4 linked regions of the Pelodiscus sinensis genome follow. The protein of the gene in region 1 binds, or shares a complex with, the protein of each later gene. Links are inferred from orthologs where the notes say so. Each region holds a gene or a part of one and is shown on either strand. Other genes may lie near its edges. The genes, in order: TAF4, TAF11, TAF8 and TAF6.

Region 1 (7,450 bases):
CTCTAGTTCCAGCAACAATGAGTGCACAGACACCTAAAAACAAGATCCACAAAAGCTATTCCACTGAGGAACTGCCTAAGTTAGGTAATGAGAGATGCTGACCAGAGAGGGGGTGTGCTCCTCTCTGGGAAGGGCATTAATTCCAGGCTGCAGGAGAAGCATCTGCTTAGCAATCCTCAAATGAGAATCTGTTGGTTGAAATAAATTGCTTCTTCAGAGGAGTTATGTGCTAGCTTTACTTTGCATATAATAGCTGGAGAGGGTGTACACATGCATTTCCCATTTTAACTTTTAGCCTAGTAGTTAGACCACTTGCATAGGCTGTTGGACATCCTAGTTCAAGTCCCTCCTTTTTGCCAGAGCTGGTCCAATACACATCACTAGGCTAAATATTCAGATGAGCAGTACCTCCTCCTATGGTTCGATTTTTGAATGGGAACCATTCTGGTTAACAGTCTCTGAGCATGTCTACTGAGGCCCTGGTGAACACCCTAAGCAAACGCTTATCTTCCCTTGCTTCATGAATCCTTTTAATGGTTAGCGAGGAAAGAAGCACACAGATGTCAAGAGGAAGACACCTCTGTGTAAGCCTACAGACACCAACACAGAGGCCTAAGGAACTTTTACTTTGAAAACTTAAGTGCTTACATGGTTTGACATTAATTTTGTGGGGTCAAAAACTTGGGCACCATATCTTTCATGTATCTGGACCCATGTGACCATAAACTAGGTTCTAAATGCCAGGACCAGCCCTGCCATCAGGTGAACTGAGGCAGTCACTTCAGGTGCCAGACTGTGCTGGGGGAAAGAGGGGGGGCAGCCCACACCACTAGGACCCAGAGGCTATGTCTATACTCAGCTTCTTGCATGAGAAATATGCAAATGAGGCTAAGCATGGAATATCATGGAATATCACTGAGCCTCATTTGTATACCTAATGAGCTGCCATTTTTGCAGAAGAAGCTCTTGCACCAGAAGGAGCTGTCTACACTGCCCCTTCTTGCACAAGAAAAACCATCTTGCACAATGCCATTGCACCATTTTCAGGAATAACAGCATTGTGCAAGAGGGTTTTTCTTGTGCAAGTAGGGGTAGTGTAGACAGCTCCTTCTGGCACAAGAGCCTCTTCTGCAAAATGTCAGCTCATTAGGTATGCAAATATGGCTCAGCAGTATTCCATGCAGCCTCATTTGCTTATTTCTCACACAAGAAGCTGCAAGTGTAGACATAGCCAGAGCATAGAAAACTGTGTCTGCTGCTGGTGCATATGTATTCTCTCTGCTCTAGATGCACAGAGACAGTAGAGTGCTGTGCTGGAGGGCACAAGAGACCTTTTTAAATTTTGGCCTAAGCAAGGGGGATGTGGGGCATCATTTGAGCTCCCCATCTAAGGTGCCAAAATGTTCTGGGCCAGCCCTGCTAAATACCTTAAAGTCATCATCAGCAGAAGAATGTAGAGTCCTGCTAACTCTTCATGCCCTTAAGATGTCATCTGCTCCTCCCTAGTTGCTGCCTGCCCATAATACTGCCAATTAGTGATTCCATCACTCCCTCTTGCTGTTTTAATTCTGCCTTTACTTAACCTCTTCTCCCTTACCCCCATTCTCCCTTCCATTGTTCACTTTCACTCTTTTCCATTATGTCCTCAACCTGAGGCTCTGCTGTTCCCAGCTAGGGAAAGGGGAAGAAAGAATAGCTTTTGGCTACCTTTGCTGCTCTAAGTCTTTGGAACCATCCTGGCAGCACCTGTAAACTACCCTCTATCCCACTTCAGGGATGTACTTGGACCTCTACTCAAGATTTCCTGTGTCTTTTTAGTTAACTGAATTGGAAATTATTAATGCTTGTAATGATAGAGGTATGCCTACCTACAGCAGCAGCAGAAGGTGCCATTGGCTGGTAGAAGAGGCACTTAAAGGAAAGCTCTCTGGCCACATCATTACTGGAATTGAGCAACAAGCCCTCAGAACACTTATTTTTAGGACACAACATTTGTTCTGTTCAATATTGATACGGATTAGAAATAGATCTTGGGAGATTTGTGAAGAAAGAGGTCCTTTCTTTACTCCTTTCAAGGTGACGTTATAGGTTATATCACTGAAAACAAGGATAGAAAATATATTATTCATTATAAAGGCTAATTAATTGACATGTTTGTCCAGGGGAATTCAGACATAGGGATTAATATATTGCAATGTCTAAAGCGACTCAAACATTGTGTAAGATATTAGAATGCTAATAGGGGTGCTTTGGAGGGAAGAATAAAAACCACAGCATGGAGAGATCTATCTATGAATGGGGCAAAATTGGCATCTCTTATTTTGGAAGACTTTATAACCATAAAGCAATGTATTCGTAGGAATCCAATACCTCTTAAGGAAAATATTAGCTGCAAACGTGTTGAGGAGCAAGGCAATTTTCTAATGTCTTCCCTTCACATGAATTTGGATAGCTGACTACCACTTTATAGACTGACCAGCTGACTTTTAGGGTGGGGCATTTGTGACTAAAATACACAAGGTTTTCTGCACTATTTTCCTTCTTACAACTCAACATTGCTTGAAAGACTCAATGTAACTGAAGTGATGGTTACATGGATTAGAACAGATGTAGAATGCAGAAACTAAAGATACCCTAATAAGTATAGTAGAATACTTTGTCTCTAGTCTAGTTGAAGTAAAGAAGCTTTGGAGGAAATGAATCACTCTGGGCTGCAAAAATGGAGACTTGTCAGTGACACTCATTAGGACCTGAAGGGCCACACACTGCTAAGTGATAACAAGCTACACAGGATCTTAGTCTGCTCCTACTGCAACAAACATTTCAACATTAAGTGCTAGCCAGCTCAAGTGACCAACAAAACAGAGGTAAGGCAAACTTATAATTTTAGATTTATAACGTTTAAACAAGTGGTTACAACCTTAACTTGCCTACTGTAGACCTTTACTTAGTGGTAGCATAAGAGTCACTGTACACTGCAGAAGAAATTTTCATCTTGCAATTAATGTTATTCTGGACTTTGAAGGTAGTGCTTAGTAAATAGTTTCACTATTAAAGGACAGGCTGCATTTTTACCATACCTGAACTTCCTTTCTTAAGATGACACAATGTTCAAGTTCAATTTCTATCTAGAATCTGTGTAAGATTAGTGATCAAGAAGCAGATTACTTGTATTGCTAAAGACTACTGTCTCCTCTAAGCACCTTTGGTTTTACAAACTAAATGGGTACTAACCTCTGTAGTACTGTTCAAAATGGAATTTAAGAAGAATGCATTTCTCTGGCGGTGATTTTGAATACAACAGTCCATTCTCTGTTAAACTGTAGCTGTTCTGGACTCAATGCTTTAATTTCCTCTGAAAGGCTGAAGTCGTGGACAAGATGTTTAGCAGTAGATATTCGGCTAAAATCTCCTCCCTCCTTCCATCCCGCCTTTCTGTTAAGCTTTCATTTCAGCTCAGCCACCTCCCATTTTTTCCCCAGGACTTTAATCCAAGCACCCCAATCCCCTCCCCCTTGTATACGCATTCACCGCGCTCATTTATTATAGCCTGTCTGGTGGCAGGGCCTGCCCACCCCCAGACCGCTGAGTCAGTTTCCTAAATTCACGTTCAGGGAAGCTCGACAGCACCTTGCCGTGCACACAGATTAGTGGCGCCTTCCCCTCCCGGATCTTCCCCCTGCAGCCTCCTTCGCTCTGTCCCAGGGAGCTCCCGCAGCCGCTCGGCGCGAGCCGAGAAAGGCGTTTGAAGTCCCCGCGGAGCAGCGGCACTCACTGCCCGCGGGCCACCGGACGCGGCGGGGGGAGGGTGGCTGCTTGTGTGGGGCGCCGCAGCACAGCCCCGCCAGCCGGCTCCTCGCCCTGCAGCTCGCTTTCCAACCCGGGAGACAAGGCTGCCCGGCCGGGGGCTCAGCCCCCTCCCGAGGCTGGGCGTGGGGCCTGCGGCCGCGTCTCCCCCCCCCCCCTTCCCGGTGGATCAGTTACACGCAGTTGGCACAGGTGTGGGGCGCCCTTCAGACTCGCTCTGGCGACACGGGCCAGACGCAGCGAGCAGCAGGGAGACATGCAGCCATCTTGAGCGCAGGCGGACAAAGAGCCGCCCGCCCCCGCCCGCGCACCCCTCGTCTCGCCCCGCGGCACGAACCAGCCTCACCGCCCTGCCCTCCCCCCGTCCAGCCGCCACCGTCCCCCCCCCCCCCACCACCTTCAGCCCCCGCTGCTCCTGCAGCTTCGCGTCCGGGCCGCCGCCGCCCGACTCCCAACTAAACCTTCGCAGCCATTTGCCCGGGCTTTTATAGGCGGCTGGCGGCCAATCACCAGCCAGCGGAATCCCTCTCCGGCCGGTGATGTGAGCCGGCTCCCGTGCGCCTGCGCCGTGAGAGGGCAGCGTGTGTGGGGGGGGCGGGAGGGAGGAGTGGAAGGGGGAGGAGGGAGCAGCTCACAGGAACCCTCCAAAAAAAAGATGGCGGCGGGCTCGGATCTGCTGGATGAGGTTTTCCTGAACACGGAGGTGGATGAGAAGGTGGTGAGCGACCTGGTGGGCTCCCTCGAGTCCCAGCTGGCGGCCTCCGGCCATCACCACCAGCACCACAAGGCGCAGGAGCCCCTCAGGACCGCTGGGGGGCTGCTGGGGAACCATGTTGTGAGCAGCAGTAGCAGCAGCAGCAGCCCTAGCCCTAGCCCTGGAGGAGTAGTAGTAGGAGGCAATGCTAATGTCCAAACAGAGAGCAGCAGCAGCAGCAAGATGGGACTCAGTGCCCCAGAGATCACAAAAGCAGGTAACCTGGGCCGGGGTGGGGGGCTCTCTGGGAAAGGGGCCTCCCCTCCCCCCACTCCCAAGCTCTGACTGCCTCCCTCCCTTACTGCTTTCCCCCCTTTTCCCTCTCTCCTCCTCGTTGTTGTGGCAAGAGCTGGAGTGCAAGGGGCGGTATAAATCATATTGGGGAGATACCCCCCCATACACCAGGCCCTTTAGTATATGTCTGACTGTGCCCCTCTTCCTCCTCGTTCCTGGGGTGTAGAGGAGGTGTTTCTTGCTATATAGGGGTACTGCACCCCCTTAAGAGAGCCATAAACAAGACACTGATGGGTTATCAGTCCCTTTTCTTTTTCTCCTGTTGTTGCTGGAGGGTAAACGGGTGCTATTAATCAGAGGAGTCAAGGAGGGGAACTAATGGGGGCAAACTACCCCTCTGATGATGATTTTTCCCTCAGTTTGTCTGAATATTCCTCTGCCTTCCCTGTTGCTGGTGTATGTTGATTGGTTTTATTGGGGGGATTCCCAATTAATAGGGCCTTCCAATTTCTGTTTGGGTGCTCCTTCCCTTCCCCCTTCTCTGTTGCTGAAGTGCAAAGGGGTGTTATTAATCATGACACCCATTTCCTGTATAGGAGGAAGTGAGGAGGGATTTCAAGGGGAAGAAGCCCCTAAAATGCCTCCCCCCTCATATCTGTCTGGGTATTCCCCATAACCCCTCTTGTATTAGGAGTTTGGAGGGGGTATTCAACACATTTCATTCCTCGTTCTCCCTCAAGGGGGTGTCATGGCAACATAAGGTCCTTGGATGGGGGGGACGGGACGACTGAGGGCACAATCCCTATCCTCCTCAGATGGGCTTCTCCATATGTTACCTGTGAATGTTTTCTGCTTGATGGAGGAGCTTTGTTTTAAGAGGATGATGTTAATCACAATATTAAGTCTCACTTTATGAGAGTGGGTGGGAGGTTGTTTTTAGGAAAGAGAAAAATATTCTTATCTGCCCAGTATCTATCTGTTTTATGTCCCCCCCCTACTATTTTCTGCTTCTTGTTGCTGAAATGTAAGAGGATGCTTATATTAATAATAGCAGATCGGTAATGAGGATTTTGCAGGAGGGTCCTCTTAGCTATTGAGACACTCATATTATAAGGGTTATCTGTGACAGCTCCCTTCTCATTTCTCTCTCCTTAATTCAGGACCTGGACTGCCAAGTCTGGTGTTAATTGTGATACCAGACCTCATTAAAATGGGATGAGGAGGTCTTAGAGTAGGAGGGCACATTGTAGTGTCCTCAGTGCCTGAGTCTGTTTTCTCCCCATATTTGTCTTTGATTGTGGGAGCTTGAGGAGCAGAATTACAACAGCACAGGCCCTGGTGTGAACAAAGTCCTCTTTTGGCAACTTTTTCTTTGTCACACTGACAGTTTTCATCCCCTATTTTTTACATTATTGTACTAGTTTAACTGCATGGAACTACTAGGTTCCTCTACAGGACATGAAAGAATTGGGGGGTAAAGTGTGCAAGGTGTAGAGGGCACAGGGAAGACTTTTTTTCCCCTCCCTCCGCATCTTTTAAAACATTTTTTCTCTAAATTCATTAACTGGAATGTAAAGGAAGTTGTTAAACGTAATGTCAGGCCCTGAAATGTGGGAGAGAAGAAAGTTTAGGATAAAGATGTATCCCAGCTCTTTTATTGTCCAGATCTGTCCTGTTGTATGTCTGTCTGTCCTCTTTTTCTTGTTATAGTTGGTTCAAGGGGTGGCTATATCTAATATCACTGCTGCCAGGTGTGAATATGGGGCATAGAAGGGCTTCATGGTAACCTCTCTACCCAGAAAAAGATAATTTGTATTTTCAGCCCATTTTTTTTCTTGTCTCATTCCAGACAGTATGGAGGACGTGGGGGCGAGGGGGTAAAGAAGAATTGGGAGGGTGGAGAAACACACTCCCTCTACCTTTTGTTTTCACCTCCTGCACATTCTCTCCATTGAACCTTCTTCTTGTTGTTTCAGGGGCTGGAGGAGTGCAAGGGGGTGTTATTAATCATAACACCAGGTCCCAGAGTTCAGCTCTGGATGGAGCCACTACAACCAGCACCACCACTGCTGCAGCAGCAGGAGGAGGCGGATCTGAAGCTGCTGCTGCTCCAGGGACCCTCAGTCAGGGCAAATCTGTGGTTATCAGTACAATGGCAACTGCCTTATCCACCAGGAATGGCAAAATTGGGACCACAACGGTGCAGACTTTGAATGGGAGTAATGTGGTGATGAACTCTCACCATTCGGGAAGTGCTACTTTCTCTGGGACTCCTGCAACTGCTAATCCTGCTGCTGCACCTACTGTTGCCCCTCTAGTTAACAATGGACCTGGATCTGTGGGGAAAGGAAATACAGTTAATGCTGTTTTGCCTTCAGCTTCTAACACTGTCATCCAGACTTCTTTCCTCAGCACCGCTGTGTCCTCCACCTCATCCCCATCCCCCACAGTAATCTCTTCACAGCCGTCACCAAGCATTGTAGGTGCGGGGCCTACTGTAGCACTGGTGAGACCACCAATTCACACAGCAGGACCCACGGTTGCTGCAGCTGCTGCAGCCACTCAGAATGGGAGCAATACTGTGATCAATTCAGCCATCAGTGTGGGTGTAGGGAGTTTTCCTGCTGTTGCTGCAGTCACTGTGGGCTCTGGAGT
Region 2 (7,285 bases), on another chromosome or scaffold:
AACTTAACTAGCCAAATAACCACATTGTTCAAGCCAACTGACCACATTCAATCAGCCAAATAGCCACATGTGGCTAGTGTGTTGGACACCAAAGAGTTAACTAATTAAAGGGGGGAGGCTGCTCTAGCCCAATTTGAGCGCGCGCATGTGTGCGTGCGCACTCACACTCTCTCTCTCTGCTGGATTGTAGCACCCAGCCCCATCACAGGCAGGGGCTGCACCAGCTGTGCCCTGTTTGCAACCTCTGTCTGCTTCAATCAGGACCTCAGGAGCAGCCCCTGTCAGCAACAGGCCCCCTGTCCGTCTGGAGCAGGCACCTGCTGGTTAACCAGTTAAATAGTCACATCCCTAATATACAGAGATGGAAAGAACCTATTGGATCACTACATCCATCCCTCTCCAGTTGCCACATGAAAGAAAGCTCATCTCAAATAGAGATACTGTGAGGCAGTGGTTCTCAAACTTTTTGGCCCGCGACCCACCCTGCTCAATGTAAATCTGCGGACCACAAGCCAAATGCCTCTAATGACAAAATGATTCATTTCAGAGTTATACAGATGCTAAGACAAAGGTCTAAGCTGTTGAAACTACATGATTTCACTTCAAAAGCTTTTTTCTCTGCTTTTATAGTGATCTTTACACAATATATTCTTAGGAATATTTCCCCCCACTTTTACAATATTCCTCTTCTACTCACCTTCTTCTACCACCTCCCCAACGAAGACTTTGGAAATCCCTGACATAGCAATAACCACATTCTGAGACACAGATGTACCAGTAATGGACTGGACCAGCTTGAAACAAAAGAAAATGTAATTCAGTTTTGCAGGTGAAGACTTTAAGAAACACTTAGTCTAAGCATGGGAAATACTGAGCAGTAACTACTGAAGTCAACACAAGTGGACTTCAGTGCTCAACACCTATTCCATAGTTGAAAACTTGTGCACTCAAACTGTGACCTAATCTATAATGATGTTTTATGCACTTACTTTTATACGTACCAAGCTGGATATGTTCCTCTGTGGACTGACTATTTGCAAAAACTTACCCGTTTAATAGCAGCCTTGGGGAAAGCAGACCGGCGGTACATCTCATAGCGATTCAGCTGCTCTTCAGAAAAGGAAGAAACCAAAATTCTGGAAGGAGGAAACAGGTCAGTTATGAGAGAACACAGGTGGACTTATTTTCATCTTAAAAAGCATTTTGAAAAGTTACCCAAATCTACATATGGTCTGTTACTACAGCGTGCCACTTTAGCCCTAAATACTTTATTAAGCATAAGACACACCACTAAAAGGAGGGGGTAGATTGTGCCCTAATTATCTAACACACAAGGTTGAGACAGATGAATTGTTTTGGTTTACAAGCTTGACTTAGATCTTCCTTTATGAAGGCAAAAATCAGAAAGACAACCTATTAAGGAATAGTCTCCAATGTTAGGCTTAAAATAATGACATGGCATATTACATACTACTGTACTTTTCATTTACATCAGCAAGCTCTGTACAGTAAATTGGGTGAGTTAAACTCAGTCTGATGAGCAAATTGTCATAAAATAAAATCCCGTACAGGGATGTTAAATATGGGTTAACTGAATAGTCGATTAACCTCATGAATTCTTATTGATTACTCAACTATTCTATAATCCACAAGGGTGAGGCCTGCAGCCAATGTAATCCAGCCCCACTCCCGAGGACCCCCTTGCCACTCCGTGCTGCGGTGTAAGGTGGGAGCTGGTCCATGAGGGGAGGGTTTAAAAACCAGCTCCCCTTGCAGACCTGCTGCCCCATGCTGCTGCCTCTAATATACAGGCAGCAGTGCAGAATAGCAGCTGGGGAAGGGAGGTGGGGGGGACTCAGCTCCTGGATGCAGTATGAGCCTGAACAGAGCTGGGCTGCCTGCCCCTCTGGCTCCTAATACTCATTAAATGCAGAGCTGCAGCAGGGGTACATCCTGGACCTGGCACAAGCCCAGACTGAGTCATGCTGCAGGCCAGCCTGCTAAAAAAATGAAGGGATGTGTGCATGTAGTCTACAGCATTAACTTATAAGCAAAAGTTTCTAGGTTAATCAACATCCCATATCCTATAACCAAACTTGATGTCAAATGGGTTAGAAATAACAGGGTGCACGCACTGCATTTTCTGAATCTCGTCTTCATCTACTTTGTGCTTCTTCTCTTTCTTCTCTTTCATCTCTAGTTTTATCTTCTTGGCTGCCGCCAATGCAGGATCCTCTGCTTCTGCTGAGCCCAATTCCAAGCTTTCTTGGCTATTCACCTGCCGCAAGAGAGAACAATTAGCGGGGTGAGGTCTGTTGGTTCCAAACGACCCATGTCCGTCCATGGTGGCCTGTGCGCAGTACTAGGAAGCACCCCCAGAGCAGGATGATAAATATTACACCCTACACGCTTTCACCTAGCAGCCTACTGTTTGGTTAGCGGCGCATGAGCCTAGAGGGGCGGGGGACTGGGGGGGGGGTGGAAGCGACTAGTCGACTACGGGATAATCTCAGGCTTGTTGGGTGGCCTAGTCCCTGCTCAACTAGTCGCTTCCCCCCCTTTGCTGCCTCACTAGAGGCACCAAGGGGGGAGCAGGAGCGGGGGGGGGCAGACAGGGGGGAATCGGGCTGCTGCCAGGAGGGGGGAGGGGCGCCACTTCCTCTTCGCGCTCTGCCCGGGAGGGGGGGGGCACGGCGTGATGACGTCACGCGGCCGCCGCAGGAATCTCTCTGTGGTGACCCGCCCCGCGCCCCTCACCTCCCCCGCCGGCCCGTCCGCCGCGGGCTCGCTGCCCCCGCCCGGCTCGGCCGCCTCCCCCGCGGGGGTCTCGGCCGCAGCCGGCGGTTCCGCGGGAGCCGCCCCCAGCCCCGGCGGCGACGCGGGCGGCGGGAAAGCCTCCTGGGGAGGGCCCGAGTCCCCGCTCTCCTCGCGGCCGGGCTGCGCGGCGTCCGCCATCGCCTGGGCGGAGGCCGCGCGCGCCGATGAGGTCATCGCGACGGCTCGGCGGGGTGTGTGTGTGGGGGGGGGGGGGCGCGCCCGAGCTCTGCCGCTTGCGGGCGAGTTCTGTTTCCATGGCAACGCGACAGCCCTCGGGGAGCGGGGCGCGGGGCGGGGGAATGGTGTGAGAGTGGGGGCGGGGCCTGGGGTTGGAGTGGGGGAGGGGCGGCCGACTATGGTTAGAGCAGTGGCAAGGAAGGGGGGGGGGGCACAGACCAGGGGGAGCAGTGGGTGTTGGAGGAGGGAGCGCTGGGTAAGGTGGGCATGGAGTGGGGACTCGGGAGTACAGAGCAGATGGGGAGCATTGGGGTGAATGAAGCAAGATCCCTCGTGCCTAGGCCCTGGGGGTACCCACAGGATTATCACAGGACTTTATAATCCTTAATGCAAATAAATGTTTCTCATTAAGGTCCTATAATGAGTTGTTTGCTGACTCTGTTTCTTTGATGAAGGAAACCAATTGGGGAGGCGAAAGCAGAGGTGATAATTTTCTGCATTGTTGCTTTCTAATTGGCCAGCACAGCACGCTAAGATGTTATCATCATTAGGATAATGGTTAGGCTGGGAGACGGAGGAGTCAGGAGTCCTGAGTTGTTTCCAGCTCCGCTCTTGGTCAGTATGCGAGTTTTGACATGTCAGTGAACGTCTTTGTGGCTCAGTTTGCCTGTCTGTAAAATGGGTACTATTTACATTCTTCATAGGGCTATGGTGAAGATTAATTCATGTTTGTGAAGGGCTTGAGATCCTTGACTGAAAAGTGCTAAAGGTTTGAGATTTTATTATTTTCGGGGCCACAGCTGATTACATCATTCTCCTGCAGTACTACACATACATGCTGTTCTTTTTCTGTGTAGTCAAGACTATTAGGATGATGTAACTGATGAAATCCTGACCGAAACTCTTACTCTGGAGGGATGGGATAAGCTTAGCATACAGGTCTAGGAATGAGGCCTTTCACATCCTAAAGTTCTGCCAACTTCTTTCCCAAATCTGCATTACAGTGTAGTGCCACCAGTCAGTGTTCATTCTCAGCTCAGAAGTGGCACTCCCCTGCCTGCAAATGCTCCATGAACACTACCAAGTACGTTGAATTATTTTTGCTATGTCGTGAAGCAATGTGTCAAAGAAATCCTCCTGTCCCCAGTTGTGGTGGTGGTACTTTCTGAGGGTCTGCAAATACAGGACACTTGTGCACTGTGTATGTGCAATTTCCATGACAATAGTGCAAAGCCCTAGGTGCTTCATGCTTTTGTGTGAGATAGCAGATACCAAAATACTTCATGTAGGTTTGTGGTGTATTTAAAAAAAGTGAAAATTATGGCATTGTAAGATGGAGAAAGTTGCATGCTGGGAAGTTGACCCCTCGCTTCCAGAGGTGTCTGGATGAGCCATTGCTATACTGCAAAACCTTGGAAAAATGTCCCAAAAGGCATTGTAGTGTCTTCATGTCACTCTGAGGTACCTAACTGTAGTGTAGTGTATTTTACATCAACACAAGCACTCCTGGTATATATGCAGTGCTGACAGGAGCAGCCATATGCATTCACCTAAGTGATATATAACTTTTTGCATGTGTATGCTCACATAATTTGTATCAATCAATGTTTGTAGCAGGGACTATCATATGTTTACACTATGGAAACTATACCAGCATATCTATATTCCGATTCAGTGCTATTCTTTTCCAGTAATTCGTGCTGTAATCCTACGTCAGCATTATTTATGTTCCACTGTATGTGACTTGAAGAAGAATCCTTTCATTGAACAAACAGAAATCACTAAGGAGAAGTTAATTCTACGTCTTTAATACATTAAGGTAGTTTAAAAGATCCACTGAACTAATGAGGATAATCTACATCTTCAATCATTCTAGTCCCATTTTTTGCACAATAGCAATGAATGAGAGATGTCATTTGTATTTCACGATAATAGCAGCACACTACCTACTTAAACGTCTGGTTCAGTCAGAAGCTTTTCCTGTATGAATCTCATTATGCTGACAAATGTCAGGTATCTGTTTGCCAAGTAAAATTCAAGCCTTCTTTCTTGAGAGTATTAACTCTTTCCTGTTTTATAAAAGGTGAGTCTCTTAGTTGCCTTATGATTATTACTGAATATTAATCCATAAAGAAAACACTTTAAAATACATGCGGGAAAGATGGTGTGATGGGAACATTATGCTGGCCAGGAGGGGTTAATAAACTGCAGTGTCTCTAACCCCACACCATGACACCTAATTGATTTGAAGCCAGGAAGGAGGAGTTAAAAGAAAGGAGCACAGAAGTGGGCTGTGCCCATGAAAGCTTGTGATACCATCTACATGTTTTGTTAGTCTATAAAGTGCTACCAGACCATTTGTTGTTTTTTTTCTGTAACAGACTAACTTGGCTACCTTCTGAAGCAGCTAAATTGGGGGTTGACTAGGGTGATAGTTAGGTTGTGAGGGAAGAGTAGTTGGGGGTAGGAATCACTGGAGACTTGTGATAGCACTTAAGAGATACACCACCCCCTAGCATCCCTGTCAGAATTTCAGTTGCTAAATGAGGTGCCCCTTCCTGCCCTCTCCCTCTTTCTCTGCTGGTCCTCCCTCCCCCAGGCACAAGTTGCCTATCTTAAGAATTAATTGAAGGTTATGGTCTGCTATATAGCCTTCTTATGGAAGGGCATACCTAACACAGACTGTTAGGGTGCATCTAGACAGCACCCTTTTGTTGGAATAAGCTACACAATTTGCAGTATGCAAATTGTGTAGCTTATTCCCAGTCTAGGTTGAAACAGCTTATTTTGAAATTTGGCACCGTGTAGACCATGCCAAATTTCAAAATAAGTCATTATTCTGACAAATCCCTTAACCCTCGTGGAATAAGGGTTACAGTGATGCCGGAATAGCGTGCCCGCTGTTTTGGGAAATGGTGGGAGTGTTTAAAGATGTGGCGTTACTATTTTGAGATTTTTCTGGTATCCCATAATAGCATCGCAGTCTAGACGTACCCTTAGGCTGTGTCTAGACTAGCCAGTTTTTCCGGAAAATCAGCCGCTTTTCCGGAAAAGCTTGCCAGCTGTCTACACTGGCTGCTTGAATTTCCGCAAAAGCACCGACTTCTTACTGTAAGAAATCAGTGCTTTTTGCGGAAATACTATGCTGCTCCCATTCGGGCAAAAGTCCCTTTTGCGCAAAACTTTTGCGCAAAAGGGCCAGTGAAGACAGCTGAGATTTGTTTTCCTCAAAAAAGCCCTGATCGCGAAGAAGGCTATCGGGGCTTTTTTGCGCAAAAGCGCGTCTAGATTGGCCACGGACGCTTTTCTACAAAAAGTGCTATTGCGGAAAAGCATCCGTGCCAATCTAGACGCACTTTCCGAAAATGCTTTTAACAGAAAACTTTTCAAAAACATGAGGCAGCATGTTCTTTTAAAAAAGAAACGTGATTTTTAGGGTTAATGGAAGGTGCTAGCTTTATGCTCTGGAGGCTTCTGTTTATATGCAAAGCAGCTATAGTCTGAGCAGCATCATTCTACTTTATCACCCATATTGCCCTGCTGCTTTGTGTCTCTAATCTGAATTCAGGGGTGCCTTGTGGGTTTGGAAGGGTACCGTTTCTGTTGATAACACTGCCAAAAAGCCATTTGCCCTAGTGGTAGGATTTTGCCCTACCAAATCACATTACATTTGCAAAATACTAACTGGATTATTGGGTCAAACTTGATGTATAATGCTTCTTGTGGGGTAGGAGGCTGAGGGGTTAACACATGGATATCACTGGAGGCTGCCTCTTACATGTGTCTTAGATTATACGTAAACAGGCTCATCTGCTTCCATTTTATTCATTACAGGACAAGCAACCAGAGCATTATTCTTCCCTTTTATTAATATATGCAAATGTCATCCTGTCCCCCTTTGTACCCTCTTTCAGTCATGAAGCAGGAGATCTGAGACCAGGCATTCCCTCTGATGGGAAGGTGGAGCATTGGACACTACCTCTGGCACATGGGTTTGAGGACCAGGCAAGATGAATACTGCAGAAGTACAGGAATTTTGGATCCTGCCTTTGGTTAGGATGGCACTGAGACAGGCAGATGCTGGGGAACTGCTACATTTCCCTCTTTAAACAGTGGATTTAACACATGTATGAATCCCTATAAAGGCCCTCAGGGATTTTGGAGGATTAATTGAAAGACTCGGGTGCTCTTCCATGTCAAATGGCACTTTCCCTCTTTCTTTGAAGAAGGGCTAAGTGGATGGTGAGTATTTCATGGGTCCAGTTGCAGGATAGGACCAGATGTGGCAGCA
Region 3 (7,477 bases), on another chromosome or scaffold:
TCTTTTTGTTTACTGATATTTGAAAAGTGTGTGGCGATTCTTTGATGGAAGAGACAATGGACATGATTATCAAGTGCCACTCTGGGTTATAGGTATGGAATTTTAAAAATGTTATAGTGGAGACTCTCTTCTCCGCTTTTTTTGAAAGGAGATTGTTTTTGTTTTGTGACACAGAGTTTGTTGGGGACCCCAAACCAAACAGGTATGAAGTGATTTCCCCTGTGCTTGTCAAAGAGATAAAAGGGGTCCTTACTAAGGGTGGGCAAAGACATTTACAACTGATTTTAGTGATGCGCCACCTAAACAGAGCCTTAACCCTTCTCTCTGCTTGTTGTACAAGACTCACAGCTCAGTCTGCCAATTAATGTGTCACAGGGTCTGCTGAAGCCCTAAAGTTCCCATTTATCAGAGCCCTCTGAAATACTCGATATTTCAAACAACAGGAAGGCTCATTTCCAGTCCTGAGGAGATCAATTGGAGAACATTCCAGGGCCTGAGATAATAATACAAATAGCAATAACAACAAGAATAATAACACTTTGTGTTGGTATCACACCTTGTACCACACAGGTGTTATTAACACAGGTGGGGAGATGATATTGTCATACTTCCAGTTGCACAAATGGGGAGTGCCCTAGACAAATTGGAGGACTGGGTGACAAGAGGCTGAGGGATTTGGGCTTATTTAGTCTGCAGAAGAGAAGAATGAGGGGGGATTTGATAGCAGCCTTCAACTTCCTGAAGGGAGGTTCCAGAGAGGATGGAGAGAGGCTGTTCTCAGTGGTGACAGATGGCAGAACAAGGAGCAATGGTCTCAAGTTGCCGTGGGGGAAGTCTAGGTTGGCTATTAGGAAAAACTATTTCTCTAGGCGGGTGGGGAAGCACTGGGATGGGTTCCCTAGGGAGGGGGTAGAATCTCCATCCCTGGAGGTTTTTAAGTCCCGGCTTGACAAAGCCCTGGCTGGGATGATTTAGTTGGGGTTGGTCCTGCTTTGGGCAGGCAGCTGGACTTGATGACCCCTTGAGGTCTCTTCCAGCCCTATAATTCTATGATTCTGTGAAGCTCATACACAACAGTCCCGTGCCTAAAGTCACCAGGGGTACGTGCACACTGTGGCACTATTTCGGGATACTTCCGGTATCCCGAAATAGCTATTCCACGTCTTGACAGCATGCCCATTATTTCAAAATATCTTTCAAAATAATGGGCATGCTATTCCAACATCCCTGTAAACCTCATTCCACAAGGATTACTTTGAAATTTGGTGCTGTGTAGATAGTTTATTTCATAATTTGGTGCTATCTCGAAATACACTCGAAATAAACTATGCAATTTGTGTAGCTCAAATTGCGTAGCTTATTTTGAGCTAAGAGTAGATGCACCCCAAGTGAATGAGTGACAGAGGTGGAAATATGTCCTAGGCTCTAACTACTAGATAATACTCCCTCACTACGTACTGTGCTACCACCTGCTTATCCCTCACAAGTGCTCCAGTTGAATGCCTGAGTTTTTGGTCCTCATGCTCTAAGGGTAAGGAGAAGTTGAACTCTTTTTCATAGGCTCTCTTGCCTCGACTTAGAGACTGTTGATGTAGTTACACAGCATAAATGCACCACTGTTCACTGCTCTGGTGTGGTGCTTGATGCTGATATGTTCTCTCAGCCATCACCATATTCACATTTCACATCCATTCCTACCCTGGGTTTCACATCATGGTATCCCAAGCTTGGCAGATACATGACACGCAGTGAATTAACATCAGGGCACCACAGAGTTGTGTCACTTTCTTGCTATGGATTCAGGTATGCCACTTTGCAGCTGGTACCAGCTGTTCCATGTTATGAATTGCTATCGGGTATGTCAAGCTACAATTATGGATTCAGACATGCCATGTTAAGAATCACATAAGCCAAGGTGCATATATGAATTCAGGTGCGCAGTGCTAGTGGTAGATACTAGGTATGCATACATATTGCATCTTGGTTTGAGAGTCAGCTATTATTTTTATAAATATTGCTGTCTAAGTCTGGCCCCGTAATTTAGCTTCAGGCAATAGCAGTGAGTTGAGGTTTTCAAGCCTGATTACCTGAAGCGCTCCTTCCCCTTTTCACCTAAACTGGATCAGATCCATGCCAAGGGTTAACCCGTGGATTTCACTAGCACTTGTTCTTCCCACAAGTCCTGCTTCTCAGAAGTACTGAGCCACTGCAACTCCAGTTACAAGATGCAGGAACTCGACATCGGTGAAAATCACACCATGTCTTTTGCAAGAAGACACAGACATCTCTTAGCTCACCAATAGGCAAAAAATCTTCTACACCTCCATTCCAGCAGGTCTGGCAAAAAAACACACACTGGCCTGGGGCTACAGAAGTTACTGTGTCACAGGTTTGTAGGGTACTGCACAACAAGTGGCTATATATATATACACACACACAATGAACCCGGCACTAAGATCTACTTCCAATAAACAATCACTCCCTCTAAAGCACCTACTCTGAAGTGTCTTCAAGATTCTTATGTTCAACCAACCTCTTGGGAACTAATTTTTCCTCTTCCTTTGTTGCTTATGACATGATCTCTCTCTCTTTCTCTTTCACCTTTTCAATCTACAATTTACCATGAAAATACAACTAAATTGCCTCCTACCTTTGTTGATGATGAATAAATTAGCTTCACGGGGCACGTTTCCTTTCAACAATCCAGTCTCTCCTCTCCTCCACCCCCTTCTTTTTCCATGGGTTGCTGTTTTCGCTACCATCGCTGCTGAAAAAAACAGCGCTACGTGGAAGCTGCATTGCAATCTGAATTGACCGAGATCAGGACCTTTAATTTCCAGCGTGGCAGCTGTTGTTTACATTTCTTTTTTTGCAATATGGTTATTGGTTCCTAAGATGCTTTCTCTCCCCACGCATATGTAGTTACACAGGAAACAAGAGGTGGGAGCTGTAGGAGGGGGGCTTCCTGTTCTATAGTTTCTGAAGCACACAACCGACTTCACCAAAGATTTGATCACAAGAGCTGAACACCCTAAAAGGGAAATTGAAGCTTGCTCAAGAAGCACTGCGTACTGAGAAACAACCTGAAGAATATTTCACGCAACCCAAGTGATTTAGGTTTTCATATGAGCTTGACAAGAGACATTTTTGTACATTCAAATTTTCCATTTGTTGGATACAAACTCAGAAGCATTGTATTTTTGGCAGAGACTTAGGTCTTGACTCTAAATAGCCATCATACCCCATAGCACTTTTCATAATGACAGGGTGGCATGGGGAAATTCTAAATTCAAGTAATAATGCTCTCATCTACAGTACCATAATTCCCCCCTGCAATTTCAACTGGATACAGTGTCCAGACAGGTCCCAGCCCTGCAGCGGTTGAATTTCAGTGATGGGTGAGGAGATCCCTGTATCTAAGTTTGCAATTGCATTTGGATCCTTTAAGATGAAGGGTTCTGAGTAAACGTCAGACATTGTATTGTGGTCGCCAAAGTGGTAAAGAAATGAAATGATTAGCTAGGGTGAAATAAGTCCTGGATTGGCATTAACAGGGCTAACAGCAATGTCAGTTCTTTACAACCTAACATACCAGGTTCCTTCTCTGAAGGACAACTCAACTATTGACCCCTTATCTCACAAAAGCATAGAGCTCTTTTTTCATGAGCGTCCTTTCAATTGGACTGCAGTTAGGGAGAATAGATAGTTTCTTTGTGTAGGCAGGCACCTCATCTCTTGCACCGTACCACTTTCTAGCAGCAGTGCTCCCTGTAAGCTGTGTGTTTGTGCGGCCACTCCGGAGAGATTCAAATGCTGCCCAGCTGATTAGCAGAGTGCCCATAGTTTCTATGGGCTTCGGTGCACACAGAAAATTTGTTCTGCACTTGGACAGAAAAAATCCACACGTGAATGGGAAAGATTAGAGGGAACATTGTCTGGCAGCCCTTGTGCCATTGGCTAGCATACAGACTGAGTGGCTCTTTAACACATTTGGGGGTAGATCTTGGGGACACAGCAATCTGACAAACTGCTTCTTGGGAGAAGCAATGGAGAGAAGAATTTTTCAGTCATGCGCTGGGCCAGTCTCACACAAAGCCCTGTCTTCTGGAGGCCGGCCAGGCTTGGGCAGGAAAAATAAATTAAAGATGCTCTTGCAAATTCCACCCCCTAAGACTCCGGAGTTGACAGCCAAATGAGACGGGGCAGCAGATCTGAACTTTGATGCTGGTCCCTCCATGAGCCCTGGAATAGTTAACAGTGATACCCTGGCTGTAAGTCACTGGGCCTTGCAATTCACTCTTCTTGGAACTGTTTCAGGCTCTAACCAGACTCAGGCAGGCAGCTCCCCCTAGGCCTCCTCCTGCAAGTCCATGCTCAACCCCAGCTTCCCCATCACAACCCCCATGCCAATGGGCTCTCCCTGGAGCAGGCTGCCCCAGCCTCTCTTCAGGACTACAAGTCCCATAATGCCCCGCGCGGCCACGCATGCGCGTCGTCGCCCATGGATTCAAGATGGCGGACACGGCGTCCAGCGGCTCGAGCAGCTCGGGCACGGTAACGGCGGACACCCCGCGGGGGATAAGTTCCCTGCGGAGCGGCCAGCGCAGGGGTCAAGGGGGCCGGGGAAGCGGCTTCTCCGACACGAGCTGAGGCGGCTGCGGCCCGGCTGAGCGGCTTCGGGGCCTACTGGGCCGAAGAGCGCGGGGCGCTGATTGGCTGGTCTGCTGGAGTAGGCGGGGTTTGGGGTGGGCTTTGGATTGGCCGAAGTGCCTTTAGTGCTTCTGATTGACGGCGATTCCTGCCAATCGGAAGGAGTTTGAGGGAGCACGCAGGTGGGAGCATCTTAAAGGGACAGTGTATGAGGGGCCCTGAGCCCCAGAGCATCTCGTGCCCTGGCAGGGCTTAGCCCAGGGGCGGGGCCCCGTTGCTCTGGCAGAGCCTGGCACTGGGGTGGGGTGCCCACGCTAGGCATGGGGTGGAACAGAGGAGGGGGCACGTGGGGCCTGGGCACCAGCTCGCCTGGGTTAGCTCCAGGCGCCGTGCTCCGGGTACAGGCGGAATACGGTCCTAGAGTCACAGCACACTAGAACGGGAAGGGACCGCGAGAGGTCAAGTCCAGTCCCCCGCCCTCACGGCAGGACCAAGCCCCATCTGGACCATCCCTGACAGGCGTCTGTCCAACCTGCTCTTAAATATCCCCAGGGATGGAGATTCCACAACCTCCCTAGGCAATTTATTTTAGTGCTTAATCACCCTGGCAGGCAGGACGTTTTTCCTAACATCCAACTGTTTCAAAGCAGCAGTCTAGACCCCAGCTGACGCTGGGCTGCACACAGTGTTTCAAATAGGCAGTGCTGCGTGGAGCCCTGGTGCTGCCACTTTGAAGCACTGTTCCTCCCCCCCCCCCCAGCTGCCTCTTTCTGATAAGTGCCGCAAAGGGAGGGGAAGTGACTAGTTGACTAGCATGTCAACTATCCGATAAGCATTTGCTTATCGGATAGTCGATTAGTTGACTAGTTGTTCACATCCCTAGTTAAGGCCTCATCTGTGTCCCTCCCTGTGCCTCTCTTTGCCCGTGTGCACGAGCAGGGTAAGCACATGCTCCCATGCAAAAGGGAGGCTCCTTCATCTTTGAGATCCTCCCTGAGATTAGGTGCTAGAGAGACAGGAAGTGTTATGGCAGTATTGTATTATCACTGTTTTACCAAGCAGGGTAACTGAGGTATGCAGAGGTGAATGGGCTGCTTTTCAGAGGCATTGCAAACCCACAGCTGCTGCTGGATCAGCTAGGATGTGCTGTTGCTCATTACTTCTAATTCATTTCTATTATTTATTTGGCTTTCAGTAGCAGCCAGAATGTGCTAAGTACTTTCCTAATGTACAACACTTTGTCTCTAGCTCAAGGAACCTGCAATCTGAGAAGACAAGAAAATAGTGAAGGAGAGAGAAAACAAACAATAACTATTTGATAAATCAAGGCAGAGGCGGAGGCCTATCACCTTGTCTCTTGCTGTAACCATTACACCACACTGTCTTGTTAATGTTCCACTTGTAACTTGCTCACAGTTCTGCCCCTGAAGCCCTCTGAATTGTTCCAGAACTGAGAGTCTTATTCCACTTCCATCCCATTTGGTGACTTGTGTGATACTACAGCAGAATCAGTGTGTTTTCCTAATACTTTTTTCCAATCTGTTCTTTTGCCACATTGGCATAGGAGGGGTATTTAAGTCAGGGCTTATGTGATGTTGGCAGAGCTGAGGTTCTACAAACTAGTAGTAGACTCTTTCATAGCATCCTTTTGTACTCTATGGCTGTGTCTAGACTGGCAAGTTTTTCCGCAAAATCATCTGCTTTTGCGGAAAAACTTGCCAGCTGTCTACACTGTCCGCTTGAATTTCCGGAAAAGCACTGACTATCTCATGTAAGATTGTCAGTGCTTTTCCGGAAATACTATGCTGCTCCCGTTCAGGCAAAAGTCTTTTTCCGAAAGACTTTTGCGCAAAATGGCCAGTGTAGACAGCACAGTACTGTTTCCGCAAAAAAAGCCCCTATCGCGAAAATGGCAGTCGGGGCTTTTTTGCAGAAAACTGCGTCTAGATTGGCCACGGACGCTTTTCCGCAAAAAGTGCTTTTGCGGAAAAGCATCCTGCCAATCTAGACGCGCTTTTCTGAAAATGCTTTTAACAGAAAACTTTTCCGTTAAAAGCATTTTGGGAAAATCATGCCAGTGTAGACGTAACCTATGTGTGTAATCAAGTGGTATTGTCTTTCACCTCTTGAAAACCATTGTTGACATCCTGGTCTTCAATAGTCCTCTGTTTTTGTTTTGTTTTTTGTTTTTCCTGTGGTCTGTTTCTACAGAGATCAGGAGGCAAACACTCAACAACCCCTGCAGATAACTATTACTTGTCTCGGAGAAGAACTTTGCAGGTTGTTGTCAGCTCCTTGCTGACAGAGGCTGGGTTTGAGAGCGCTGAAAAGGCAGCAGTGGAAACCCTGACAGAGATGTTACAGAGCTGTAAGTATCTTTATGACAGATGCAACTATTTCAACTAAAAAAGTAGAGATTTTAGGGGCCAGAGTAGTTTTTGAAATAAAATATGATGGTGTTAAAATCAGGTATTCTCAGTGGAAATAAAAATGGGTACCTATGATATAGCCATGTTGCTATAATGTTAACATGCTTGACAAATCACTGGAGTAGTTAATGCTGAAACAAAAAACAGGACTATGTAGCACTTTAAAGACTAATAAGATGGTTTATTAGGTAATGAGTTTTCGTGGGCCAGACTCACTTCCTCAGATCAAATTGTGGAAGAAAATTGGCATGACCATATATACCAAAGGGATATAATCAAAAAAAGTGAACACATCTAAAAAAGACAAATCAAATTTCAGAATGGGGGGAGGGGAGGTAAATGTCTGTGAGCTAATGATATTAGAGGTGATAATTGGGGAAGCTATCTTTGTAATGGGT
Region 4 (7,944 bases), on another chromosome or scaffold:
GGGTTCTTTTGAGGATACCGGAGGTATCCTGAGAAAACCCTGCTGTGTCCAGGGAATGCGTTTGCACTTCCGCTTTTTTTTTGCGGAAGTGCAAATGCGCTTTCGGAAGCCCCTGTATTCCTCCTTCCACGAGGAAGAAAGGGGCTTCCGAAAGAGAGGGTTTTTTCTGACATTTGGCCCAGTCTAGACGGGCCAAATGTCGGAAAAGCCTCTTTTGACAAAAGAATCAAGACAAGACAAAACCTTGGGCTACATCTACATTGCGCATTCTTGCACAAGAATATATGCAAATGAGGCAGGGCGATGAATATCGTCGTGCCTCATTTGGATATCTAATGAACCTCCATTTTGCGCAAGAAGAAGCAGTTTACACTGCTGCTTCTTATGCAAAAACCCCCTCTTGCGCAAGAGCTGTTCTGCCTGAAAATAAGCAGCAGAACGGCTTTGTGCAAGAGGGGGTTTTTACACAAGGAGCAGTGTAGACAGCTTCTTCTTGCACAAAAGCCCCTTGTGCAAAAATGGCGGTTCATAAGGCATGCAAATGAGGCACAGCGATATTAATTGCTTTGTAGCCTAGTAGTCTAGACCTAGCCACTGGATGTTTTCAGAGAACTATTCACAATGACTTCAAGATCTCTCTCTCGAGTAGTTGTAGCTAAATTAGTGCCCATCACGTTGTACATCTAGTTGGGATTATTTTTTCCAGTGTGCATTACTTTACATTTGTCAACATTACATTTTATTTGCCATTTTGTTGCCCAGTCACTTAGTTTGTTGAGAGCTTTTTAAAATCTTCACAGACTGCTTTGGTCTTAACTATCTTGAGCAGTTTGGTATCATCTACAAATTTTGCCACCTCACTGTTTACCCTTTTCTTTAGATCATTTATAAATAAGTTGAATAGGATGGGTCCCAGGACAGACCCTTGGGGAATCTCACTATTTACCTCTCGCCATTCGGAAAACTTATAGTTTATTCCTGCCCTTTGTTTCCTATCTTTTAACCAGTATCAATCCATGAAAGGACATTTCCTCTTATCTCATGTCGTGTAGTTCGATATATTTTCGATCCAAGGGAAACCAGGACACTCTAGGGAGACTTAACCACTTTCTCATTTATTACAAGCTTGAAGCAGTTAATACATTTGTTTAAGTTTTATAAGCCTTAAAAACAATTACTATATAATTTAAACCTTAAATACTATAGATACTAAAGCAATTAATAGAGCTCAAAGCAATGCAAAAGCAATTAATAAAAAAAAAATCTACTATAATAAAGCCTAGTTCACTTACACTTCACCCATATGCTACCTATAGTACCAGGCAGGAGGTCTTGGTTGATTCCCATGCACTGGGAAGGTCCTTTAATTCCCATGCAATGGAAAGCCATGCACTGGGGTGCTGGTGAGAAGGGCCTACTTACTTCTAGCTACATTAAGCAAGATCTGTGGGTCAATCCTGCCCATTGATTGTTCTTACTAAGCCCATTTTATAGCATAGCAAGACTTTCCAATGCCCTATTTGCAGCACGTCCTTCTCAGGATGTTGCTGTTATGTGTGTGGTTGACAGTTGTATGACTGTATCTGTAATTTTTGCTTATCAGAAACAGAAGTACCAATATAAGGTTGCTTTTTGTGTGGTCTCACTGTACCACACTTAATCTGCATTGTTATTCAAAACATTCCTACCTCCCAAACCTTTCCTGTGTGAACCAGACTTGAGACAGGCCTGGGTTTTGCTTTTTAGAGATATGAACCGGGGACAAGTAAGACATCACCATTTATTTTCTAGGCAAGGTAGTCCAGGCTCCACTACATCCTATGACAACTTACTTTGCTTTAGAGCTTTTGGTGAGGGACCTTGTCAAAGGCTTTCTGGAAATCTAAGTACACTGGATCCCCCTTGTCCACATGTTTGTTGACCCCCTCAAAGAACTCAAGTAGATTAATAAGGCGTGATTTCCCTTTACAGCAGGGCTGCGGCCGCATGTGGCTCACAGCCCATTTGTGGCCCGTGGTGTGGTTTGGGTTTACATGGGGCTCAACACGAGGCCCGCGGGTGGGATCCTTTGAACATGGCCTGGGAACACACTCGACAACGGTGAGGCGTTCTCAGGCAGGGTGAGCACTGAAAGATGCAAGTGGACAGGCTGGCAAAACAGATGGGTACAGGGTGTTGGCGTTTCTAAGCCTCCAGAGAGGAGATGCGGGGAATGCCAGGGCATTGTGGAAATTAATGGTTGCTTACCCTTGTGGGCAGAGCCTGAGAGGTGCTGACTGGCTCACACTGGCCACATTTGGTTCCGGTGCTGCAGCTTAAGGCTTAATCATTGCATACATGCCTGCCAGTGTGAAAGAAGCTATTTGCATGTATAAGCAACTACACTTAAGATGCAGCCCTTGGCATGTGCTGTATCATTATGGTCCCCAGGGCTTCCAAAATTGAGTACTCCTGCTTTACAGAAACCACGTTGCCTTTTCCCCAACAAATTATGTTCATCTATATGTCTGACAATTTTATTGTTTACTATAGTTTCAACTAATTTGCCCAGTACTGATGTTAGACTTACCAGTCTGTAATTATTAGGATCACCTCTAGAGCCCTTTTAAATATTGGTGTCATGTTAGCTATCTTCCAGTCATTAGGTACATAAGCTGATTTAAAGGATAGGTTACAAACCACAGTTAATAGTTCTGCAATTTCCAATTTGAGTTCTTTCAGAACTCTTGGGTGAATGCCATCTGGTCCTGGTGACTTGTTACTGTTAAGTTTATCAGTTTGTTCCAAAACCTCCTCTAATAATTGTCCTCAATTTGGGACAATTCTTCATATTTGTCAACTAAAAAGAATGGCTGAGATTTGAGAATCTCCCCAGTATCCTCAACCATGAAGACTGAAGCAAAGAATTGATTTAGCTTCTCTGCAATAAGTTGATCATCTTTGAGTACTCCTTTAGCATCTCAATCGTCCCAGGGCCCCACTGGTTGTTTAGCCGGCTTCCTACTTCTGATGTACTTAAAAACATTCTGCTATTACTTTTTGAGTTTTTGGCTAGCTGTTCTTCAAACTCCCTTCTGGCTTTTTTAATTATATTTTTACACTTAATTTGACAAAGTTTATGCTCCTTTCTATTTTCCTCACTAGGATTTGACTTCCACTTTTAAAAAGGTGTCTTTTTATCTGTCACTGCTGCTTTTACCCAGTAAAGCCACAGTGGCACTTTTTTGTTCTTTTACTGTGTTTTTTAATTTGGGGTATACATTTAAGTTGGGTCTCTATGATGGTGTCTTTGAAAAGTTTCCATGCAGCTTGCACAGATTTTACTTTTGTCACTGTACCTTTTAAAAATTTTGTTTAACTATCTTCATTTTTGTATATTTCCCCTTTCTGAAATTAAATGCTACAATGCTGGGCTACTGAGGTGTTTTCCCCACCACAGGGATGTTACATTTGATTACATTATGGTCACTATTTCCAAGCAGTCCAGTTATATTTACCTCTTGAACCAGATCCTGCTCTCCACTTAGGGCTAAATCAAGAATAGCTTCTCCCCTTGTGGGTTCTGAAACCAGCTGCTCAAATAAACAGTCATTTAAGATATCAATAAATTTGATCTCTGGATCCCATCCTGAAGTGTCGTGTCCCCAGTCAAGATGGAGATAGTTTAAATCCCCCACTATTATTGAGTTTTTTGATACCCTCTCTAATTTCAATACCACTGTCCTAATCAAGTGGTCAATAATATATCCCTACTGCCACATTCTTATTATTGGAGCATGGAATTACTAGCCATAGAGATTCTATGGAACATTTCGGCTCATTTAAGATTTTAAGAGTGGGGGAAGGGCATCTTTTCAGCCAGCAGCACTTTACCATCAAGGTCAGTTCCCAGGCAAAATGGCCCCAAATCTGCAAGGGTTTGTGCAAAGGGAGAATTTGTCCTGGTTTGGTCTAAAAACAATAAGCTAAAGGTTTGTGGATGGAAATTTTCAGCCTTTCATTATCAAAGGGAAGATTTGCTTTTGGAAGTTGGTCAAAGAGAAATTCTAGAGTTTGTGGGGAAAAGGAAACTGGGTTTTTGGGCATGTGCCATGCAACCTATGACATGCAAAGGGCTTGGAGAACCCAGGTGTTCAGGACACCAACTCCTCCCCTTCAATGCTCCCCGGCCCCATTTCCCTCCTAGAATCAGGGAGAGAACCCAGGAATCCCGGACCCTAGCACCTACACTTACAACATATTGTATTTGATGTGCCTCTTCTGATTGCCCCAGTTCCAGCACCTCCGAGGTACTTACATACTGCCAGGTGGTTAGCAGCTGCCCATGCAATGCCCCATGCCCTGTCCCCCACCCCCAGTTCCTATATAGCCCATATGGATCTGCTAGTGACGGCTGCCATTTCTACACTGAGGCTGTGTCCCCACCTCTGGCCTGGTTCTTTCAGCCCCATACAGACCACGTGGATATCTCAGGAGACCATGGCTCCCTTCCCCATCTTAGCTTGCAAAGCACAGCTGGCCTGAACCCCAGTCCCTAGCAGTTCCACTCACCTCCCCACACAGGCCATGGCCCCTTTAAGAGACGCGCCCCCATTACCTTCGCAGGGGGTGGCTCGCCTTTCCTCCTCCTCAGCTGCAGCCCCAGCAGGGGGAGCCGCGTAGCCCCGCACCAGTCCTAGGCTAAGGCTGCTAATAGCCGCGGTGGCCCTTTAAGGGGGGAAGGGGAGGGAGGGGATGAAGCATGAGCAGTAGGCGCCTCGCAGAGCGCAGCAAGCGGGAGAGCGACGCATGCGTGGGGATGTGGCGTGCCTCTAAAAAAAAAGGGATCTGGACTGCTCATGCGCGTCATCAACCAAAGGCTGGGGCGCTAGCGCGCATGTTTTCCGCACTTGGCCATGTTGCACATGCTTGGTAGAAAGGAATCCATGCGCGGCACGCAGGCGCCGTCCTAGCTGTGAGGCACCACGCACACAGGCACTGTCCTCCTCCCGCGCCCCATCCCGCGCCTGCGCAGTGCGTCCCTGCCCGCCTGCCGGTCTCCAGGGCTGGCCCCGCCCCTCGGAGGTGCTCGGGTCCTGGCAGGGGTGTAGCGCGGCACCGGGATCGGTGGGGGAATGTAGCGGGGGCGAGGAGGTTGCGCCGCAGCGCGGGCGTGCAGCTGCCGGGAGAGGGAGGGGCGCCGGCACGGTGGGGGGCGGGAGTTAGGGGAGGGGCTAGGGAAAGGGGCGGGGCCAGCCAGGTGGGGGATGGGGCCCTTGGGGTCCGGGCCGCGCAGTGGCGGGAGGTTCCGCCGCCCCGGCCCGTGTCTCACCCCCCTCCCCGCAGGTGCGGCGGGGCGCGATGGCGGCCGAGGAGAAGAAGGCGAAGCTGAGCCACACGCTGCTGCCGGCCGAGTCCATGAAGGTGATGGCAGAGGCCGTGGGCATCGCCCAGGTGCCCGAGGAGACCTGCCAGCTGCTGGCCGACGAGGTCAGCTACCGCGTCAAGGAGATCACCCAGGTACGGGCACCCCGTCCTCGGCAGAGGGGAGTGACCGGAACAGGGATCCCTCCCCGCTGCCCATTCCCAGCCTCTGACAGACTAGGATAGCCACTCCCACCCATCCTGGCTAATAGCTATTAATGGACAGAACCCCCGTGAACGTATCTAGCTCTCTTTTGAACCCAGTTAAAATCCTGGTCTTCACAACATCCTCCATCAAGGAGTTCCACAGGTTGGCTGTGTGACAAACTACTTCCTTTGGTTTGCTTTAATTCTGCTAACAATTGATTTCATTTGATGACCCCTAGTTCTTGTGCTATGGGAACAAGTAAATAATTTCCCTTATTTACTTTGTCCACACTGGTTGTGATTTTATACACGTCCATCATATCCCTCTTTAGTCTCCTCTTTTGTAAGGTGACATGCCCCAGTCTTATTAATCTTCCTCTGTCCACGGCATCTCCCCTTCCTTCCCTGGCATTGCCACATCCTCTCGGCTCCAGCAGATTGCCCATGTATGGGCAGGGGGTCCCACAGGCACTCTCTGCCCCTAGCATTGCCTCACTTCCCTGTCTTTGGAAGATCACCCAGCTGTGGGCCCCCGGACATTGTCCTGAGCAGTTGGTGGGTTATGGAAATCACACGGGTATACAGGGCCCCCAGCTGTCCCAAGACCCTCCCATCCAGTTTCTGGCCCGAGGAGAACCTCATGCACCCAATGCCTCCACCTCCCAGTTGCTCTGCTCCTGCCCTTGGTTGCCTGAGGGTCCTTGGAGCAGAGAGGGGTGAGACAACCCTCACTTCCCATTTGCCTGCAGGATGCTCTGAAGTTCATGCACATGGGCAAGCGTCGGAAGCTGACCACCAGCGACGTGGACTATGCCTTGAAACTGAAGAACGTGGAGGTAAAAGGGGCAGTCCCAGCCCCGAGGAGCTTGTGGGGCAGGCTCTTGGCTGGCATTGGAGTCCTGTGGGCTTGGGGGCCATCTGAGTAAGGCCATGTGCTTGGTGCTGGGGAGGGGAGGACAGTTCTGAAGTGCAGAGGGGCTTTTCATGGATTTCAAGGCCTGAATTCCTAGAACAGAGACTCCCCTGAGCTTTGGGGGGGGGAGGTTCCCCCTGCCGGTCACTATGGTAGGGCGCATGTAACATTCAGGGAGACAATTTCCAGCATAGGTATATGTTTTCCCAAGGACAAAATGGTGCTCCTCTCCCTGGTGCAGCAGGTGTGTATTGCACAAGGGACATGCCAAAAGGCAGGTAGAGCCACAGAGCCAGGCTGTATTTACTGTTGGGAGCCAGGCATGTATAGCACGGGGGCTGTGCCGAAAGGCAGGTAGAGCCATGGAGCTGAGCCAAGGGAAGGCTCTGACATGGGGACTCCAGCTCACCCTCTATGTCCCTCTCCCCACAGCCGCTGTATGGCTTTCATGCCCAGGAGTTCATCCCCTTCCGCTATGCCAGTGGGGGCGGGCGCGAGCTCTACTTCTATGAAGAGAAAGAAGTGGATCTGAGCGACATCATCAACACGCCACTGCCCCGTGTCCCGCTGGACGTGTGCCTCAAAGGTGGGGGCAACATGGGGCAGACAGGGATGAGGGGGCATGGAGAGCAAAGGATTATGTGGGGGCAAGGAACGGGAGGTGCAGCACCCAGCCTGCAGTGCTGCTTGCCCCTGATCCTTCTCTCCGCTCCCTTTCAGCTCACTGGCTCAGCATCGAAGGCACTCAGCCCGCCATCCCTGAGAATCCGCCCCCAGGTGAGTTGTGGAGCCAGGTGTCCAGGTGCAGTGCCCCACAGGGACTTGAGTTGTCTGCTTCCTGCGTGTCTGTTCTGTCTGGGCGCTTGGTCTGCAGAGCAGGGTGACTGACAAGCTTTTCCAAGTGCCATCTGCTGTGGTCCCCGAAACTAGAGACTGATCCAGCAGCCTGGTCAAAAGATAATGCATTTCCTACTGAGAAGTGCCCTTGATGTTGTCCTGTGTCCTGCCCTAGACATAGCTGCATTTCAGCATTGCATGTGGGGTCCCTATGTAACCAGCTGCCCCATTCCAGAGGTGTCTGCATTTCTGCGCTGAGCGAGGGGTCCTTGTGTAACCAGCCGCTCCATCCCCGAGGTGGCTGCATCTCCATGCTGGGCGAGGGGTCCTTGTATAACCAGCCGCCCCACCCCAGAGGTGGCTGCATCCCCGTGCGAAAGGGCTGTGCCTTTGGGGCTGGCTGGTGAACCTGCTGTGTCTCTAGCCCCCAAGGAGCAGCAGAAAGCTGAGGCCACAGAGCCGCTGAAGCCCACGAAGCCAGGGCAGGAGGAGGTTGGGACGCTAAAGGGTAAAGGGCAAAGCGCAAGTACTCCGGATGGCAAAGGTCAGTCCCAAGCAGAGCAGCAGGGCCAGGGGCTTCGAAGGCTGGGAGAATGGATGCAGAGTAGTGCTGGGGATGGGGCCAGTCACTAGAGGGGTGTAAG

Evidence for each region.
Region 2: TAF4 (region 1) and TAF11 share a complex: the UniProt entries of both Homo sapiens proteins name them as parts of the TFIID basal transcription factor complex. The link is inferred for Pelodiscus sinensis from reciprocal best matches to the Homo sapiens genes TAF4 and TAF11.
Region 3: TAF4 (region 1) and TAF8 share a complex: the UniProt entries of both Homo sapiens proteins name them as parts of the TFIID basal transcription factor complex. The link is inferred for Pelodiscus sinensis from reciprocal best matches to the Homo sapiens genes TAF4 and TAF8.
Region 4: TAF4 (region 1) and TAF6 share a complex: the UniProt entries of both Homo sapiens proteins name them as parts of the TFIID basal transcription factor complex. The link is inferred for Pelodiscus sinensis from reciprocal best matches to the Homo sapiens genes TAF4 and TAF6.

Annotation. Positions count from the first base shown.
Region 1 is NC_134728.1:9,457,669-9,465,118, forward strand, and holds the start of TAF4 (transcription initiation factor TFIID subunit 4), read left to right. Parts: upstream 1-4,437; 5' UTR 4,438-4,462; coding exon 4,463-4,778; intron 4,779-6,771; coding exon 6,772-7,450. UniProt on the Homo sapiens protein: The TFIID basal transcription factor complex plays a major role in the initiation of RNA polymerase II (Pol II)-dependent transcription.
Region 2 is NC_134737.1:11,874,075-11,881,359, forward strand, and holds the start of TAF11 (transcription initiation factor TFIID subunit 11), read right to left. Parts: upstream 3,004-7,285; 5' UTR 2,992-3,003; coding exon 2,758-2,991; intron 2,279-2,757; coding exon 2,136-2,278; intron 1,137-2,135; coding exon 1,049-1,136; intron 795-1,048; coding exon 698-794; intron 1-697. UniProt on the Homo sapiens protein: The TFIID basal transcription factor complex plays a major role in the initiation of RNA polymerase II (Pol II)-dependent transcription.
Region 3 is NC_134737.1:9,412,276-9,419,752, reverse strand, and holds the start of TAF8 (transcription initiation factor TFIID subunit 8), read left to right. Parts: upstream 1-4,465; 5' UTR 4,466-4,485; coding exon 4,486-4,554; intron 4,555-4,560; exon of another isoform or gene 4,561-4,832; intron 4,833-6,861; coding exon 6,862-7,018; intron 7,019-7,477. UniProt on the Homo sapiens protein: The TFIID basal transcription factor complex plays a major role in the initiation of RNA polymerase II (Pol II)-dependent transcription.
Region 4 is NC_134734.1:7,576,510-7,584,453, forward strand, and holds the start of TAF6 (transcription initiation factor TFIID subunit 6), read left to right. Parts: upstream 1-4,934; 5' UTR 4,935-5,064; exon of another isoform or gene 5,065-5,106; intron 5,107-5,210; exon of another isoform or gene 5,211-5,325; 5' UTR 5,326-5,340; coding exon 5,341-5,499; intron 5,500-6,299; coding exon 6,300-6,386; intron 6,387-6,895; coding exon 6,896-7,049; intron 7,050-7,183; coding exon 7,184-7,240; intron 7,241-7,724; coding exon 7,725-7,844; intron 7,845-7,944. UniProt on the Homo sapiens protein: The TFIID basal transcription factor complex plays a major role in the initiation of RNA polymerase II (Pol II)-dependent transcription.